Macaca fascicularis: one gene and its partners. The protein of the gene in region 3 purifies or fractionates together with the protein of the main gene of each other region. This does not show direct contact. Links are inferred from orthologs where the notes say so. Each region holds a gene or a part of one and is shown on either strand. Other genes may lie near its edges.

Region 1 (4,923 bases), on a different chromosome or scaffold from region 3:
CAAGCCCTCTTAGAATACGTGGGGCCAGTACTGATGCCGAAAGGCTCATTCTTTATATATTGAACTGCACAGCTGCAAGGAGCTACACAAATGTTACCAACTCATTTGTCATGCAAACAGTGCTTCAGAAAGAAATAAAATACTATTATGTGGTATATGTGTTAGGCAATCACTATATCAAATTCACGGCATTCTGTGCAAACACAGACAGAGAAAAGGAAAACAACACTTGGTGAGAGAAATCACACCACATGGGAGCAGCTAAGTCAGGGGAGATGGGGAGGCCAACAGTGGAAGCTGACCAAGCTGAGGCTGTAATTTTCCCAGCAATTGTGGCCAGGGTTGAATACCCCCGAGGTGGAGCAAGTGGCAGGAATGCAAAACCCAGACAGAGGAGCATAGCATTGCCCAGCGTGTCAGGGAGGGGAGGGAATAAAGTGAGGAGTGGGTAAGGGGTCTGTTGGGACAGATATGGGGATTCCAGGGAGAAGGGGCCTGGGGGAAGGGGAGAATGGAATAGCAGGGGTAGAAATAGATGGAACCTATTGGGCCAGCAATAAATGTTTGGGAATGGGAGTTGAGGGATGTGGAAGGAAGATTATAAACTGGCTCTATTTTCAGTTGCCACATTCCCTTGCTTCCCTTAGGAGTTTCCTGCTAAGAGCCTTCATGTAACCAAATCACCTGCCCTGTGGGAGACTCTACACAGCACTGACACTGCAAAGATGTGGGTTAAGTATAAACACGCATGAGCGTGTGCCCCGCACTGTCCCAAGCACCTTAGCCAAACTACCTCTTCTAATCCTCACAGCAACTCTATTGAGGTTTACTGGCAAACAAGCTAAAAATGTTAATTGAATATGATCACACATCTAATAGTTGTGAGTAGGGATTTGAAACTGAACTGAATGGCTCCAAAGCCCACATCCTAAACCACCAGTGAGGCTACAGGACCGTGTATCTCTGGAGTCTTCTCCCACCCATGTCTCCTTGTAAAAATCCCATTACACAGACACAGGCCCTCCGCAGAGAAGCCTCAACTGCCCACTCGAGCCCAAGGGCATTTTGCTCCTCTGCCTCCACTATGGAAACTGCGTCCCCTCCAGGCTGGCGCTCCTTGGGGGCCAGTGTCTGTCCTAAGGCTGGGATCACACCTACTTGGTGCTCAGTGTCGCCCAGTTAACAAGCCCGAAGTCGGGACAGGGTCTTGGAGCATGCCTGGCGTGTACTATATGGCCCAAATAAAACCAGATCACACATCAGTCCCCAAGCCCAGATAGGCAAATGATCCTGTCTCTCCATTCGGGGCAGTGGCTTCGTTCACCATTAACCAATTCATCCATTAAATCAACACTGACTTTACTGAATGCTTACCACGTGCCAGAGGCAAAGCTAGGGTTGGAGGACTCAAAAGATTAATACTGTTTGATCTAACAAACAAAGGGAAGTGGGAGAGCGGAGAGAGAGGGAAAAACAAAACAAAAAATTTAATCCCCCTTGGACCTTCCCACCATGGCGGCTCTAAGAGCCACGTCAGACCTCCTCATCATGGCCGACCCATAGGCCGAGCGCAAACCTTCCCAACATGGCGACCGACCTTCCCATCATGGCGCGGGGCCCCGCCCGCTCCGCCGCGCCTGCGGGAGGGAGCAGTTCCGGGTGTGGTGCGCGCCGGGGGCGGGCGGGGGGCGGCGTCCTGGCCATGGCCGGCCTGTCGGACCTGGAACTGCGGCGGGAGCTGCAGGCCCTGGGCTTCCAGCCAGGACCCATCACCGACACCACCCGGGATGTCTACCGCAACAAGCTGCGCCGCCTGCGGGGCGAGGCCCGGCTGCGCGACGAGGAGCGGCTGCGGGAGGAGGCCCGGCCGCGGGAGGAGGCCCAGCCGCGGGGCGAGGAGCGGTTACGGGAAGAGGCCCGGCTACGCGAGGATGCGCCGCTGCGCGCCCGGCCCGCCGCGGGCTCTCCGCGGGCGGAGCCCTGGCTCTCCCAGCCGGCCTCGGGCTCGGCCTACGCGACCCCTGGGGCCTACGGCGATATCCGACCCTCCGCGGCTTCCTGGGTAGGGAGCCGCGGCCTCGCCTATCCTGCCCGCCCGGCGCAGCTAAGGCGCCGCGCCTCGGTCCGGGGCAGCTCCGAGGAGGACGAGGACGCCCGGACGCCCGACAGGGCCACGCAGGGCCCGGGTCTCGCGGCCCGCCGCTGGTGGGCAGCGTCTCCCGCCCCGGCGCGGCTGCCTTCCGCCCTCCTCGGCCCCGACCCGCGCCCGGGCCTGCGGGCGACTCGAGCGGGCCCTGCTGGCGCGGCGCGGGCCCGGCCCGAGGTGGGGCGCCGGCTGGAGCGCTGGCTGTCTCGGCTCCTGCTCTGGGCCAGCCTGGGGCTACTGCTCGTCTTCCTGGGCATCCTCTGGGTGAAGATGGGCAAGCCCTCAGCGCCGCAGGAGGCGGAGGACAACAGTACGTCCTGGGCCGGCGCAGGGGAGGGCCCTGGGGGCGCGTGTGTCTGCCGGACGACCACCCGTTCCTGTCGGCGCCAGGCCGTGCACTTCCAGCCTTGTCGGCAGCCTCTGACTGTCTTCTCATTTCCAGGCCTGCCTTCTTCCAGCTGTTGGAAGAGAGGGCCAAGGCTCCTGCATCTGCAATAATTTCTGCCTTCACTTTCTCCTGTTCTCCTTTTCTGCCCCAGCCCTCCCTTCTAAAGTCGCCCTTTGAATCACAAGCTGTAGTCACTGCTCCCCCAACCTCTGGTTTTCTCCCTGGAGAGGAAGCCACACCCTTCTCTAACAGATTCACCCCATCCCTTTGGGTTCTTCCCGTTTGACCTCTGGCTTACTCACACACTTTGTGCCTGTTTGAAGGCACTCCAGATTTCACTGACCCACAGATAGGATCTGGTTGGGGGTCCCAGCTTTGCAGCACCAAAAAGTCCACTCTCCACTTCTTTGAACCACAGGGCCGCCGCTTTGTCAACAGGAGAATCTACCAGCCTTGCTTGCCAGACAGGTTAAACTGATAGCAACGGGAGGCATTTACGATTGCTTGTAGCACCCTCATGGAGTGTGTTGAGAGACTGTGACTCAAGGATGCTCACAGCCATCCTTCTGGCCACACTTAAGTTACATGGTTAGATATGCCAATGAGAGGTCTTCAGGGTACAGTATGTATCCGGAATAGCTGAGGATTGTGTGTTTCCTGAAAAGAAACAAAGATCATTTCACTATACATTTAGGTATAAAGGGCCACTGTAGTTCACCAACTTTTAATACTCTTTACAAAGCACAAATGTGAGTAATACTGTTCCCAGCTTCCAGCCAAGGCCACATCCTTCCATGCCTAGCAGGAACTTCCAACATACAGGAAAAAGCTAAAGTATGTCTTAGCTGGTGTGGCAGATGGATGTTTGGGAGTGTACAAGTCTGTGGGCAAGGGTATCAACAGACTTGTGTGCAGACACCCAAATGATTTCCCCACTATGAGAGCAGTTTATCAACTATGTGAATAGTTTGTCGACCTGCTAGAGAAATTAAGCAGACCTGGGAGTGTCATGGTACTATAACTACACTGGTGATGTCAAACAGTATCACACTGGTACTCACTGCTGAGATGTTTTAAGACAACAGTGCTAGAATATATGCTGGTATCTACCCGGACTTCCCCTCCCATTATGGTGTTAATCTCTGTTTAACGTATCATTGTTTTCAGTTTACAAAACTGTCCTGTATTTTGTTTTGTTTGGGCCTAACTTCCTGAGTTAAGCAGGGAAGGCCCATTTGATCCCATTTTACAGATGAGGAAACAGAGATTCAGAGTGGTTGAGTTGCCCAAGAACCTTGAGCTAATCATTTTCAGCTGGGACAAGGACCCAGCTATCTTAATTCCTAATCCAGGATTTGGATACCCTTACATTTTGCTGTCTGCATTTTAAAAGTGCCTTCCTTAGATGACATCTTTCTAATCACCACCCTTGGCTTGGTAATGCTTTACTCCCCCCGAATGTTGTGAATAGTCTCTTTGTATTCCTTTCTCAACCCACACTTAATTTCCTCTGTGTTTCTTTTCTTGGTCTCAGTGAAGTTATTGCCAGTGGACTGTGAGAGAAAAACAGATGAGGTGAGTTTGAGTTTCTCTGGCTTTTATTATTCCTCCTGAGGATATTAGCCTCCATCAGGAGGTAAACTTCCCCAGAACAAGAATAGGATCATTTTCAAGGAGTGCTTCCTGTAATGTACCAGAGTCACATTGTGTTCTGTGATGTTTGTGTCAGGCTCAATTGTGGCAGTGAAGGAATACTTGAAATAGAATTGACCTCCCAAAATCCAACCCTGGGCTTGTTATGGACGCTTTCCCATCAATGTAGTATTTTCTTCTGCCTGAGTCAATCTAGGGGGATGCAGTAGGTTGTTGAAGGACCCCTCAAGCTCCCTGGCACGGGGAGGAAGGGCTGGCATTTCTAAGCATCAGGAGGCCAAGTTCTCAATTCCACATTCTCTCTCTCTGGTGATGCAGCTGTGGCTCTGAAAATGCTGTTCTGATTTGAAACATAGGGAGTTTGTTTGGAACACATCTTAAGTAGAATTAGCCCTCTTAGTCCACATTTAGATTTGCTTTATGAAGCTCTAATATTTCCTACAAATAATATTTGGGGATGAGCAGCCCCATCCATTTATGAATCATGAAGGCAGCATTATCAAGGAGCTGGGATGCTGGTTCTGGTGACAGTCTGGAGAAGATAGGGGGCAGTAAATTTTCAGGTCATAAATTGTACCAGTCTTGTGCTGCCAGAGGGCATGACTTAGTAGTCTAATTATTAAGTGTGCAATGCCTGGCCTCCCGAGCCCTTAGTTAACATCTCTGGTAGCCCAGGGGCTGGGAAAGAAAATGACGCATGGTCCTCTGGCCACCCCTGCATTGACTGTCTTACCCA
Region 2 (4,792 bases), on a different chromosome or scaffold from region 3:
CTCTCGAGATTTAAGAAACACTTCATAAGTTTGGAGACAAGTCTCTCTTTTAACATCTCTTCATCAACAACTTGAAAAGTCCAGAAAAACACCACGATCTTTAAGAACAGTTTTTGGGGAGGAAGTGAAGTATCATTCGCCCTTTTCTAAGGTGAGAGCAAAAGCATAGTAGGACCATTCCTTCTGTTCCTTCTACTTTTTTACAAATGTTTTAAAAATTGTTTTACAAAAACAGAAGTGCTTTTAAAAAATCCCAATTACGAATGTTGTTTCTCACATTAGACCATTGAAAAAGAAATGTATCTTTTTTCACTGGGCAACTTATTTTTTTTTTCTTTTAAGAAAAAACAAGTAATAATAATGCTGCAGAATTTAAACCAGAGGCAGGGAACACCGCTCTCCCGCCCCCAGTGGCCACCCCAGGTCCTTTGAGAAATGGGGCTGGACCTCAGGGACCACGCTGCCTTCAAGTTCCCTTGCAGCAACAGTACCCATCAACTGACATCTGTCTCCTCTCAGCACACCTGCCTAAAGTGATGCTCCACCCTTCCTACTGCTCACACAGATGCATTTTCCCCAGGTTCTGCCCTCTGTACTTCCAACGCAGAAAGCCAGCTAGCACTTTCACAGGAGAAGGGTAGCAGTTCCCTCCTTCTGGGGAGGGTGGCCATATATACAAACCCAGGTAGCCCCAGGCCTGCTATGGTCTGCTGTCCTAACTGTTGTTTCTGCCCAGGCCTCAACAACAGCAGCAGCGGGTGGAATGTAAATGCAAAATCTTTTCATTTCCCATCAATAACTGAACCTAAACCAGCAATTAGGAAGCAGATGGTATCCTTGGCCCCTAATATCCAAGTCACCACAATTTCCTGGCCCCACCCTCAGCACTCCTTTCCTCTCATTTCTTTCATTTTCCTGTAAAACCAACTTAAAAAAAAAATGTGAAAATTGGATAACCTCTCCATAGGAGAACAAAATATATCTTAAAAGCTAACCTCTTTCCTTTAAACATCCTAATAATTCAATTTCTTTTTGTTCACTGACACCTTAAGAATTGAGTGGCCTAAAAACAGTAAGTCTTAGCGAGTTACTAGTTTCTATTTATAAAGAAAGTAAAAGTATTCTTTCCAATAGCATGAGCGTAGCTTCATCTTTTATAGCACAACTGGAAGAAGCTAGGATGCCTTTGGAGACCCACAAAAACTAACAAGAGATTGTCCCATGCCCACCAAAATTCAGAAATACTAAAACTGAGATTTGAGCCAACCTGATGGCCATGAGCTAAACAAAGCCACTCAAGCGCCGCTAAACACTTCATCAGGTTACTGCATATCTCACTAATCCAGTCCTAGAAATGTTCAATAATTTGCATAAGGTAGGGCCTAGGGACCCCAAATCAGACAAAGGAAACCTCAAAACCGTGAAAGTCACACAAGTTTAGTTTTGCACATCTGGCTATGGGACATCTGAAATTGTCCAGCATCATCACGATATTTCAAATATAATAATTCTTAAATTTTGCTTAAAAAATTCATCAAAATTGTTATTCACATTTTGCTTCTTAAAAGCAAGTCATTAAAAATATTGAACAGGATATGATCTTTAAAGCACGGCAAAGTTGTGTGGATCCTCCACGCTGGCAAAGGTGGAAACACAGGTATGCGGGAAAACCTCGAGCATCCGCGAGAACCGGCTGCAGCCGCGCTCCGGCCGCGCGGCGGGAAGACCCGGCGCCAAGCTCCGGGGTCACTAGCCAGGAGGCCCCGCGACAACATGGACCCCAGGGCGGCCGAAGCGCGCCTGGGGTTGGAGGGGAGGAAGAGGAGGCGGGAGCCGAGAGGCTCGCGGCTCGGCCAGCTCTCCGCGCCTCGTGCAAATCACGCCGCAGAACTGGAACTAGTACGACTTTGGGGGTGCACGCTTTTGACTTTGGATGCCGACGCGCGTGACAAAGCTCAGAACAAAAAGAAAGGCCCCGCATCGCCTGAGACTGCAGGGCAGGGAATCCTCGCGAGGCCCCTCATCGCAGGGCCAGGGGGCCGCGCGCCCGGCCTTGGGGAGCGAGCCGAGGGGCCCGGGCGGCCACGGGCTGCTCGGTGCAGGAAGGTGCGGCGCCAGCCCCGAGAGCAGCCAGCGAAGGCTGGAGCCCCGGCGCAAGCGGCAGCGAGGGTCCGGGGACCAACGCGAGGTCTCGGGGCGCGGGGCACGGGGCCGGGGCAAAGGAGGGAGGAAGCGAGGGACCCCGGTTCGGGAGGCCTGGGGCTGCGCGCCGCCCACTCACCTTTTCCGCGGCTCCGGCCGCCACTCGGCGATGCGGGGCTCCGCTACGAGGCCACCCGGGCCGCTCTCCCGCCGCTGCCGGCCTCGCGCTCCGGCCGGCTCCGCGCGGTGCGCCCCGCGCCTCAGCGTCCAGCGCCGCCGCGTCCCCGGCCTCCGCAGCTGCGAGGCCCCGCCCCCGGGCAGCGCCGGCGGCTCGAAGGGAGGAGGCGGCGCCGCGAGCGCGGAGAGGCGAGGCCGGGGCTGCCGGGGCCGCGCGGACTCCCGCCTCCACGGTGCGCGCGCCCCGGCCAGCGGCCCCCACTCGGCAGGAGCAGGAACGCCAGCGTGCGCCCCTCCCCTGGACCACCCCAGCGCCCCTTCCGACGCGGGAGACGGCTCCTGAGCAGCGGCGCGGAGCGGGGAAGCGGCGGTGGGGAAAGGGTACCTGGGGGGAACCCCATCCCACGTTCCACCCCAAGGGAATGTTCCCGAACAGCCAACCACACCCAGCGCCACACTCACGTTACCTTCTTTATAAAGTCGTCTGGGTGAAAACTGCCCAGAGAAGGAAGCGAACGAAAAACAGGTTTTTAGGGGGTTTATACTCACAAAATTGTCTTTTTTCTCCCACTAGGTATTCCCTGTTGACCATCATCTCGCTTCGGTTGTCACCGCTCAGGCCTTAGCGTTTGGTCTGTGACCCTTCCACTACTAGCAACCGAAAAAGTGAAGATTCCCGGACGCCTTCGGGTGTGATCTCCTAGCCTGGGCAGCTGCATTTAAAACAGCGCCTCAGGTGACGCTCAGGCGCACTGATGTTTGAGAAGCCCTGTGAGGCCGTACCTCCTGGAGAGAATGCCACAAAACTAATGACCTACAAGGAAACCGTGCTAGAAAATTCTAAAGCAATGGTTCTTAACTCTAGCAGCACCTGCCATCCATTAGAATTATTTGGGGGAGCTTTTAGAGCATTTAGATACCAGGGTCCCACTTCCAGAGTTCAAACTGAACTTGATATTTTTTGTTTGTTTTGAGCTTCCCAGATAATCCTAATACAGTATACGGCCAAGATTGAGAACGGTTTTCCTAGAGTCATGTCTCTTCATGTCTTCTTAGCTCTGGTGTCTGGGAAAGGAAGCTCCTTCCTCTGCGCCTCTCCCAAATCCCGACAATAAAAAAAACAAATACATGAACACCTAAAGGAATGCCCACAGCTGAAATTGATTTTAACCAGAAAAAGAGTCACCTTGAAAAAGGTGATCAAGATACCCTACTGCCACCTGAGCATGGAGCTTCTTAACTGCAGGAAACATCTTTATGAGCCAAAACCTCTTAGCTGAATTAGAAACTGACAATAGGTGACCCCTTTAGAGGAATGTTCTACTATATTCCAAAATGATATTTTTGTTATCTGCAGCTGTTATATCTGCAGGGTCAGACCAAAGCATTCAGAAGCTGAAGCTATGTCGGATGTCAGCCCTGGTTTTGCAGACTTGCATCGCTTTGCTCTGATCTTCTAGTGAGCTTAAATAACCATAATTGGGGACAGGTACAGGAAATTCCCTTTCTTGCCCATTTTAGCTCTCCTAGTATAGTTTGCATTCTTAGACTGGTGGACCGTAACTTCTATATCATTTGCCTCTAAGGAGGGTCTCCCTTAGTCTCTCATTTATCAGCAACTAATTAGTCAGTGACTCACTCAGTGATTCTTAAACACTTTATGGAGCAGGTCCATATGTCTAGGTGCTAAGGCAGCTAGCTGAATGAGCTGCATTTTAATTGAAGGTGAATTAGTCCTTTTCGTTAGATTCTTTATGACAAAAGTTGAAAATTTTAAGATGCAGTTTTATATAGGTCTATATACATAATTTACATTCCTTATAAATAACCTAATCAGTTGCCGGCCCTAAAACTTCAACTGGATGGGTTTTGATTAAACAATGTGCAAGGGGCTACAGTGGTTGGTTGAAGGAAGCATCCATGTTTGCCTGTTAAGCATCCTTTCCTTAATGTCTTAGTCCATTTTGTGTTGATATAACACAATTCCACAGACTGAGTAATTTATAAAGAAAAGAAATTTATTTCTCATAGTTCTGAAGGCTGGGGAGTCTAATATCAAGGTGCTGACATCTTGTAAGGGCCTTCTTGCTGCATCATCCTAGGGTGGAAGGCAGAAGGGCAAGAGAGTGCATGTGAAATTGAACTTGCAGCCTCAAGCCCTCTATAATTGGCATTAATTTATTTATAAGAGTGGAGCCTTTATGACCTAAACACCTCCTTTTGGGCCCCACCTCCCAACACTGTTGCACTTGAGATTCAGTTTTCAACACATGCTTTGTGGAGCACACATTCAAACCATAGCATTCTGCTTCTATGCCCTCCCACCCCCAGTTCATATCCTTCTCACATACAAAATACATTTATTCCATCCCAATAGACCTAAAGGCATTTATTTATTTATTTATTTAGAGACAGGGTTTCACTCTGTCTCCCAGGCAGGAATGCAGTGGTGTAATCATGGCTCACTACAACG
Region 3 (2,828 bases):
CTGCACCTGATGCCCAAGGTCTGCCCCCACAACCCCCCGATCCTGGCCTTCCCTTCCCCACCATGGACTCCCAGGCCATGCCCTCCCAGGGCCCTTACCCACACCACCCCCTGACCCCTGACCCCTCTCCCTGGGTCTTGGAGGGAGGCGCCCTGTGACCCCCCCAGCCCAGCGCCCCTACTCCCCAGGTGCTGGGGCTGCACACACACAGCGAAGAGGGCCTCAGCCCACAGCCCACCTGGCGCCTCCTGGCTATGTTGGCCGGGCTCTACGCCTTCTTCCTGTTTGAGAACCTCTTCAACCTCCTGCTGCCCAGGGACCCGGAGGTCAGGCTTCATGGGAAGGTACCCGGCGGGTGGGTGTGCTGGGGGCCTGGTGGACACTGAGCAGCTACCCTCACAGGATCTGGAGGACGGGCCCTGCGGCCACAGCAGCCACAGCCACGGCGGCCACAGCCACGGTGTGTCCCTGCAGCTGGCACCCAGCGAACTCCGGCAGCCCAAGCCGCCCCACGAGGGCTCCCGCGCGGACCTGGTGAGTGGACGCCCGATGCCCCACCCCACGCGGAGCCCCTCCCACAGACCCCTTCCCAAGCCCACACTCCTAGCCCCACCCCAGGCCTGCGGCCCCGCCTCCCGCGGTGATCTGGGGCCCCGCCCCGCCGCGTTCCTCCTCTATCTCTGGGCGGGACTTACTCAAGGCTCCTCCCAGGTGGCGGAGGAGAGCCCGGAGCTGCTGAACCCGGAGCCCAGGAGACTGAGCCGAGGTGAGCCCAGGGGGCGACCCCGGAAGGGCTGGGGAATCTGAGGTTTGTGTGGAGCGCGAGCGGGGCCCGGGGCTTGGCGGTCGGGGACAGGCCACGCGAACCCACGGCCGCTGCATCCGCAGAGTTGAGGTTACTGCCTTATGTGATCACGCTGGGCGACGCCGTGCACAACTTCGCCGATGGGCTGGCCGTGGGCGCCGCCTTCGCGTCCTCCTGGAAGACCGGGCTGGCCACCTCGCTGGCGGTGTTCTGCCACGAGTTGCCGCACGAGCTGGGTGAGCGGCGGGCGGGGCCTGGAAGGAGACGGCCGGGGCCGCACGGGGCTGGGCGGGGAGACCGGGAACAGGTGGGCGGGGCCTGGTGGTAAGAGCGCGCGACCGAAAGGAGGTGGGCGGGGCATGTAAATAGGAGGGCGGAGCTGTTGACGTGGACCCGCCCGCAGGGGACTTCGCGGCCTTGCTGCAGGCGGGGCTTTCCGTGCGCCAAGCGCTGGTGCTGAACCTGGCCTCTGCGCTCACGGCCTTCGCGGGTCTCTACGTGGCACTCGCGGTTGGAGTCGGCGAGGAGAGCGAGGTCTGGATCCTGGCAGTGGCCACCGGCCTGTTCCTCTACGTGGCACTCTGCGACATGGTCAGGATGGTGAGGGGAGGGGCTGCTCTGGGCCGGGAACTGAGCAGCGGAGCTGAGCAGGGGCGCTGACCTGGTACCCACTTGCTCCTCAGCTCCCGGCCATCTTGAAAGTACGGGACCCACGGCCCTGGCTCCTCTTTCTGCTGCACAACGTGGGCCTGCTGGGCGGCTGGACCGTCCTGCTGCTGCTGTCCTTGTACGAGGATGATATCACCCTCTGATACCCTGCCCTAGTCTCCCACCTTTGACCCAAGATCCCACACCCCACAAACCTACAGCCCAGAAACCAGAAGCCCCTATAGAGGCCCCAGTCCTAACTCCAATAAAGACACTCTTGTCCTTGCAGCATGGCTGTGCTCTCCTTGTTGGGTGGGAAAGGTCCTCAGCTGAGAAAGGACAATTGCGGCACTGCCTTCTCCCCATCGGGGTGCCTCGAAGAGAAGCAGGAAGAGCTGCACTCAGGGCCCCCCAGGCAGCCAGCCTCAGGCACCCCCTCTTTGATGTGGAGACCCTGCCTGCCTGAGGAGTGGGGTCAGGGAAATTCGCCGGGGTGTGTGGGCAGCAGGTGGGACCCTGTCCCCAAACAGTAATCAAACTTGCTTACCCATAACTGCTTACACAGCTGAAGGCATATTTTTCTGTCATGGAAAGCAAGCCTGGAGATAATCAGACCAGAGTGTGGCAGCCCATGGTTCCTGGGACCCCAGCCTCTTCTGACTCTGAGGCGTTAATCCTGAGTCCCTATGTAGTGGCCTCCTAGGGCTCCCATAACACAGCCTACCACAAACTGAGTGCCTTCAAACCAGAAACTTATTTTCACAGTTCTGGAGGCTAAAAGTTAGGAATCAAAGCATCAGGAGACTAATGCTCCCTCTGAAGTCTCCAGGAAGCAGTCTGTTCCCCAAGCCTTTCCTGGCTACTGGTGGCCCCAGGTGTTCCTTGGTTTGTGGGCAGTATGACTCCAATCTCTGCCTCTGTCTTTGTGGGGAAAAGAAAGAGATCAGCCTGTTACTGTGTCTATATAGAAAGAAGTAGACATAAGAGACTCCATTTTGTTCTGTATTTGTGATGCTGTTAATCTGTGACCCTACCCCCAACCTTGTCCTTTGCAAGAGACATGTGGTGCGGTGACTCAAGGTTTAATGGATTTTGGGCTGTGCAGGATGTGTCTTTGTTAAACAAATGCCTGAAGGTAGCTTGCTGGTTAAAAGTTATCACCATTCTCTTAATTTCAACCACCCAGAGACACGTACACAGGGACCTGTGCCTAGGAAAGCTAGGTATTGTCTAAGGTTTCTCCCCATGTGATAGGCTGAAACAATGCTGCTAAAAGGTTTATGGAGATGTTTGCATATGCATCTCAAGGCACAGCATTTTCCTTTGAACTTATTCATGTCACAGAGGTGTTTGTTCATATGTCTTACTGCCCATT
Region 4 (4,977 bases), on a different chromosome or scaffold from region 3:
AGGCAGGAGAATGGCGTAAACCCGGGAGGCGGAGCTTGCAGTGAGCTGAGATCTGACCACTGCACTCCAGCCTGGGCAACAGAGTGAGACTCCGTCTCAAAAACACTCAAAAAAAAAAAAAAAAAAAAAAAAAAATTAGTGTGGCAACCCTAGGCTTGTTTTTTTCAAATTATACATTCATAATTTCTCAATGTGGTGGAACAAAATATATCCTGTTCTTAAAATAGAAAGAAGGCTGGGTGTGGTGGCTCACACCTGTAATCCCAGCACCTTTGGGAGGCCAAGGTGGGCAGATCACCTGAGGTCGGGAGTTTGAGACCACCCTGACCAACACGGAGAAACTCTGTCTCTAAACATACAAAATTAGCCGGGTATGGTGGCATATGCCTGTAATCCCAGCTACTTGGGAGGCTGAGGCAGGAGAATTGCTTGAACCTGGGAGGCGGAGGTTGCGGTCAGACGAGATCATGCCATGGCACTCCAGCCTGGGCAACAAGAGCAAAACTCCAGCTCAAAAAAAAAAAAAAAAAAAGGTACAAGCCGGGTGTAGTGGCACATGCCTGTAGTCCCAACTACTCAGGAGGTAGAGGCAGGGCTGCTTGAGCTGAGGAGTTCGACACAAGTCTCAGCAACACAGTGAGACCCCTATCCCAGAAAAACAAAAGGAAGAAAGAAAAAAGGAGGCACAGTCTTGCCTTGTTTAAGGCTGTCACCAAAACATACTAGTATGGCAGGATATCGGGGGACAGAGTAGGGGCTCACAGGAGCAATGGTCATAGGATAAGCAGGACTGGGCACGTGTAGGCACCACCAAAGCCTGACATCTAAACACCATTCCTGACATCTAGTATTTCACAAACAAAACAGAACTGGATTCCCTTACACTTACTTTGAGTCACATACAGAAGTGGTGGGTGCACCCTATGATGCTTAGGGTTTCTAAAGGCCTCACTCTGTGCCTGGTGGTATGGTCATTTATTCCTTCACTGAAGGCACTCTGAGTGCTTGCTCTGTGCTGTGCACATGCTAAGAACTGGAGGCAGAAAGATGAATCAGACAGTCCCTGTCTCAAGCAGCTCAAAGTCCAGTGAGAGCTCCTAGTCTCCAATGTTTTTAAAGAGAGAAAAAGAAAGATTTTTACATCAAAATCTACACTCAACCAACTGAACAATGAAATAATTCTCTTTATACCCGAGCGATACCAAGAGTCCCCCTAAGCTTTCATAGTAACTGGCAGATGAAAAGTCGCCACCCTAACTGCTCTCTTCCACTGTGCAAACCTACTCTAAATCCCAAATCACTACTCAGGAGGGTCCTTTCTAAAGCAATGGATTTGCAGCAAAGAATGCTTTTCTGGTGTTGCACCTGACAACCTCACAGGCCCCTTTCCACAGCCCACAGGTGCAGGCTGACCTCTACACATATGAATAGTTCAGAGATGCTTCTCCCCACTAAGCCAGAAGTCCCGGCAGAAGCGGGAACCATGTTTCCTTGTGCATGCCACTGTAACCCCAGGGCCCAGTTCAGAATGAGGGCTCAACAAATGTTTATAGAAGGAATGAAAATTTAGAGAAATCAAAAAGTTTAGATCTTACAAGGCCCTTGCATCTAAACACTCCTCCAATTAATGGTTAAAAAATGAGGAGCTATAGAAAACTGTACTATTTAAATTTTGTTTCTAAAAGCATTCATTTTGGCTTCTTTAAAAAAAGTTACTCAATTACTGAACAGATAACTGGTTGGTGTGGACTGATGAACAGTGCTATAACTTCCTGCTTCCCACTTAGCACGAGACGAGTGTGAAAGTTCTGCTTTCCGTTGTGAAAGCATTGGTGACTGCTTGACAGACTCGCTTAAAGCAAACAATTTTTTTTTTTTTGGTTAAAAAAAAAGTATAAATGCCTAATAACAAAATAGGCATATTTTTGGCTACAATTTATTTTTTTTCCAAGGAAAAACCTCCAGCTCATTTTGCTGCCTAAGCCAAAACAGATGCTCCCACTAAGTTGGTGACGGAACAGACCCAAAGATTCCAATAAGGACATATACAATGTGTGTCAACAAGAAAAAAAGTGTAAAATCTGCCAACGAGTCCCCAGCTAAGGCGAAATCTTGACAACGCTACTCCGAGGAGAGCCATCCCCTCCCTCCTCCGGGGTTAGGAGTGGCCCAGGAGAGGCGGCGGTGACAGGCGCTCTGCGGCCCGGCCGTGTCCCTCTCGGCGCCCCGGGATCCCGCGCGTGGAGAAGGAGCGGCCCGGAGGAGGGAAGTGGTCGGGGAGGGCCCTACCTGCCAGCCTCCGGCGCTCAGGGTACGCCAGCCCCAGGAGCTTCCGGGCTTCCGGGAGTTCGGGTGACCGGGGGCGCAGCCGCCCGTTGTCCCCAGGAGGCGCCGCTTGCCCGCGCCGCCAGGCCTCGTCCCCTGCCCAGGCAGCGGCTGCCGGACCGCCCGGGAACCCGGCGCGCGGGAGCCGAGGAGCGCCCAGCCCAGCAAAAGCCCCGCACGTGCAGCTGCCAGGGGCCCGAGCCCACAGCCCCATGAGCCGCGCGAGGCCCAGGCCGCCCCCCGAGTAGCCCGGACCCCCGTTCCGGCAGCCGCTCCTCCAGCGGCGCGCGGCTCCAACGCCCCCGAGCAGCGCCGGCCCCGCGCCCCATAGCCGTGTGGGCCTCAGGCCAGTGAACGGCGATAGGGATCCAGGGGAGCGGATGGCCGGGGCCCACACGCAGGCTACCGGCAGGAGCCGACCTGGCTCGGCTGGGCCCGGGGGCGCGAGCAGCCGCAGCGGCCAAGCAGGGGGGCCGCGCATGGCGCTGCGTGCGACCCGTACGCCTCAGCCCGCGGGCCAGGCGCGCGCAGAGGCCGAGGACCCTCCCGGACCGGCCCCGAGCAAAGGGCGTGGACGCAGTGGCGCCCGCCCCTCCCTGCTGGCTGTCACTCGCCTTATCGTGCCTGCATCCCTGGGCTGCGCCCGCCCCCGCCCCATCCTCGTCCGCGCGGTGCTGCGCCCCTCCGCCCCACCCCGAGGACTGCAGCTACCCGGACCATGCAAGCCACCCTTCCAAGCGCCCCCAACCCGCTCGGGTGCCCTCCCTGCAGCGCCCCCAACTGTCCGCTGGCGGAGTAGCGCCGGGCGCGCCGACTGGGACGAGGCCCGGGAAGCCCAGGAGCACGGCTGCGCCTGCGTACTGGCCGCAGGGAATTTTTTTCGCGCTTCGCCGTCCCCTCTGGTCTGAACTCGGGAGCCGCACGAGCTCTTTCTCACGCCGGCAGACCGGCGGAGCGCGCAGACGCGACTACACGATGCCCGGCACAAGGATGGGGCGGGAGGACAGCGCGCTGGACACGGCGTGGGGCGGGTCCGCGGCCCGGGAGACCCATGCTGGGGCGGCCCTGTCACCAGTCTCGCTGCCAAGCACAGGGCTGAGGTGCGGAGGGACCACTGAGAGGACTTCGCTGCGTGTCAGCTCAGCTCTGGACGGCGTGGAGGAGGTGGTTGGCGAATAGTGAAATGTATATAACTTTCAGAAGGGAGGAGATCGTTTCTTTTCTTTTCTTTTCTTTTTTTTCTTGAGACGGAGTCTTGCTCTGTGTCTTAGGCTGGAGTGCAGTGGCGCGATCTCGGCTCACTGCAACCTCCGCCTCCCAGGTTGAAGTGATTCTCCCGCCTCAGCCTCCCAAGTGGCTGAGATTACAGGCATGCGCCACCACCCCCGGCTGATGTTGTATTTTTAGTAGAGACGGCATGTTGGTCAGGCTCGTCTCCAACTCCTGACTTCAGGTGATCCGCCCGCCTCGGCCTCCCAAAGTGCTGGGATTACAGGCGTGAGCCACCGCTCCGGGCCAGAGATCGTTTCTTAACTAGAGCAGAAATTTGAAAACAGACGTGGTCGAGGCATTTCCGCTGTTCGAAGTGGAAAACACCAATCAGAAGGCAATGCATTTTAATACACGTGCATGGAAAGAGAGGAGAGAACATTAAAACTCACTGGGACACTTTATGGAGACTTCATGGTGGGGGATATATACCTGGGGCACAGTAAGTCGTGGGTAGATTTTTGTAGACTCCTAGGTATTTTTACTGGACCTGGACAGGGTACTGTCAATTGCAAATTTTATGGGTTCACAAAACAAAAAAACCTCAATAATCAGCATAAATATTTTCGTGCAATATTTTTAAAACTCAAAATTAATTTTAAAAATCCATAATGAACAAAATATCAAAAATTTTAATTGAGTATCCACTCCTGACCTTTCACAATCCTGCCTCTCTTCTCTCGCTCTAATCCCAACCCTGAAAACTATTTACAAAAACTGCAGCAGCTGCCATTAGTTTGGCAGCTGGAAAATGGGAAAGAGAAAGTAAGAGGAAGATTAGATTTGGGTTAAAGTTGTCACTTTCTCTTCAACTGGAGAGTATCAATCCTTGATGTTTCTTTAGTTGGGCTCAAAAAGGAGGTAGCAGCCGGACACAGTGGCTCACACCTATAATCCCAACATTTTGGGAAGCCAAGGCAGGCGGATCACGAGGTCAGGAGTTCAAGACCAGCCTGACCAACGTGGTGAAACCCAGTCTCTACTAAAAATACAAAAATTAGCCAGGTGTGGTGGAGTGCGCCTGTAATCCCAGCTACGCAGGAGGCTGAGGCAGGAGAATTGCTTGAACCTGGGGGGTGGAGGTTGCAGTGAGCTGAGATGGTGCCACACTGCACTGCAGCCTGGGAGACAGAGCAAGACTGTCTCAAAAAAAAAAAAAAAAAAAAAAAAGAGGAGGTAGCAGCTGGGCGGTGGCTCACACCTGTAATCCCAACATTTTAGGAGGCTGAGGCAGGTGGATCCCTTGAAGTCTGGAGTTCGAGACCAGCCTGGCCAACATGGTGAAACTCCATCTCTACTGAAAATACAAAAATTAGCCAGGCTTGGTGGTGCATGCCTGTAGTCTCAGCTACTGGGGAGGCTAAGGCAGCATAATTGGTTGAA

What was found.
Region 1: the proteins of SLC39A4 (region 3) and LEMD2 purify together in Homo sapiens (affinity purification with mass spectrometry; 3 studies listed by BioGRID and IntAct, counting the BioPlex papers as one, with this or other methods). This does not show direct contact. The link is inferred for Macaca fascicularis from reciprocal best matches to the Homo sapiens genes SLC39A4 and LEMD2.
Region 2: the proteins of SLC39A4 (region 3) and GOLM1 purify together in Homo sapiens (affinity purification with mass spectrometry; 3 studies listed by BioGRID and IntAct, counting the BioPlex papers as one, with this or other methods). This does not show direct contact. The link is inferred for Macaca fascicularis from reciprocal best matches to the Homo sapiens genes SLC39A4 and GOLM1.
Region 4: the proteins of SLC39A4 (region 3) and ABCB10 purify together in Homo sapiens (affinity purification with mass spectrometry; 3 studies listed by BioGRID and IntAct, counting the BioPlex papers as one, with this or other methods). This does not show direct contact. The link is inferred for Macaca fascicularis from reciprocal best matches to the Homo sapiens genes SLC39A4 and ABCB10.

Annotation. Positions count from the first base shown.
Region 1 is NC_088378.1:137,903,644-137,908,566, forward strand, and holds the start of LEMD2 (LEM domain-containing protein 2), read left to right. Parts: upstream 1-1,679; 5' UTR 1,680-1,702; coding exon 1,703-2,456; exon of another isoform or gene 2,457-3,971; intron 3,972-4,068; coding exon 4,069-4,109; intron 4,110-4,923. UniProt on the Homo sapiens protein: Nuclear lamina-associated inner nuclear membrane protein that is involved in nuclear structure organization, maintenance of nuclear envelope (NE) integrity and NE reformation after mitosis.
Region 2 is NC_088389.1:116,600,781-116,605,572, forward strand, and holds the start of GOLM1 (Golgi membrane protein 1), read right to left. Parts: upstream 3,014-4,792; 5' UTR 2,869-3,013; intron 2,444-2,868; exon of another isoform or gene 2,282-2,443; intron 1-2,281.
Region 3 is NC_088382.1:154,107,715-154,110,542, reverse strand, and holds the end of SLC39A4 (zinc transporter ZIP4), read left to right. Parts: coding exon 1-18; intron 19-188; coding exon 189-326; exon of another isoform or gene 327-402; coding exon 403-534; exon of another isoform or gene 535-653; intron 654-711; coding exon 712-766; intron 767-888; coding exon 889-1,041; intron 1,042-1,208; coding exon 1,209-1,396; intron 1,397-1,488; coding exon 1,489-1,617; 3' UTR 1,618-1,741; downstream 1,742-2,828. UniProt on the Homo sapiens protein: Selective transporter that mediates the uptake of Zn(2+). Plays an essential role for dietary zinc uptake from small intestine. The Zn(2+) uniporter activity is regulated by zinc availability.
Region 4 is NC_088375.1:19,544,297-19,549,273, reverse strand, and holds the start of ABCB10 (ATP-binding cassette sub-family B member 10, mitochondrial), read right to left. Parts: upstream 3,080-4,977; 5' UTR 2,807-3,079; coding exon 2,290-2,806; intron 1-2,289.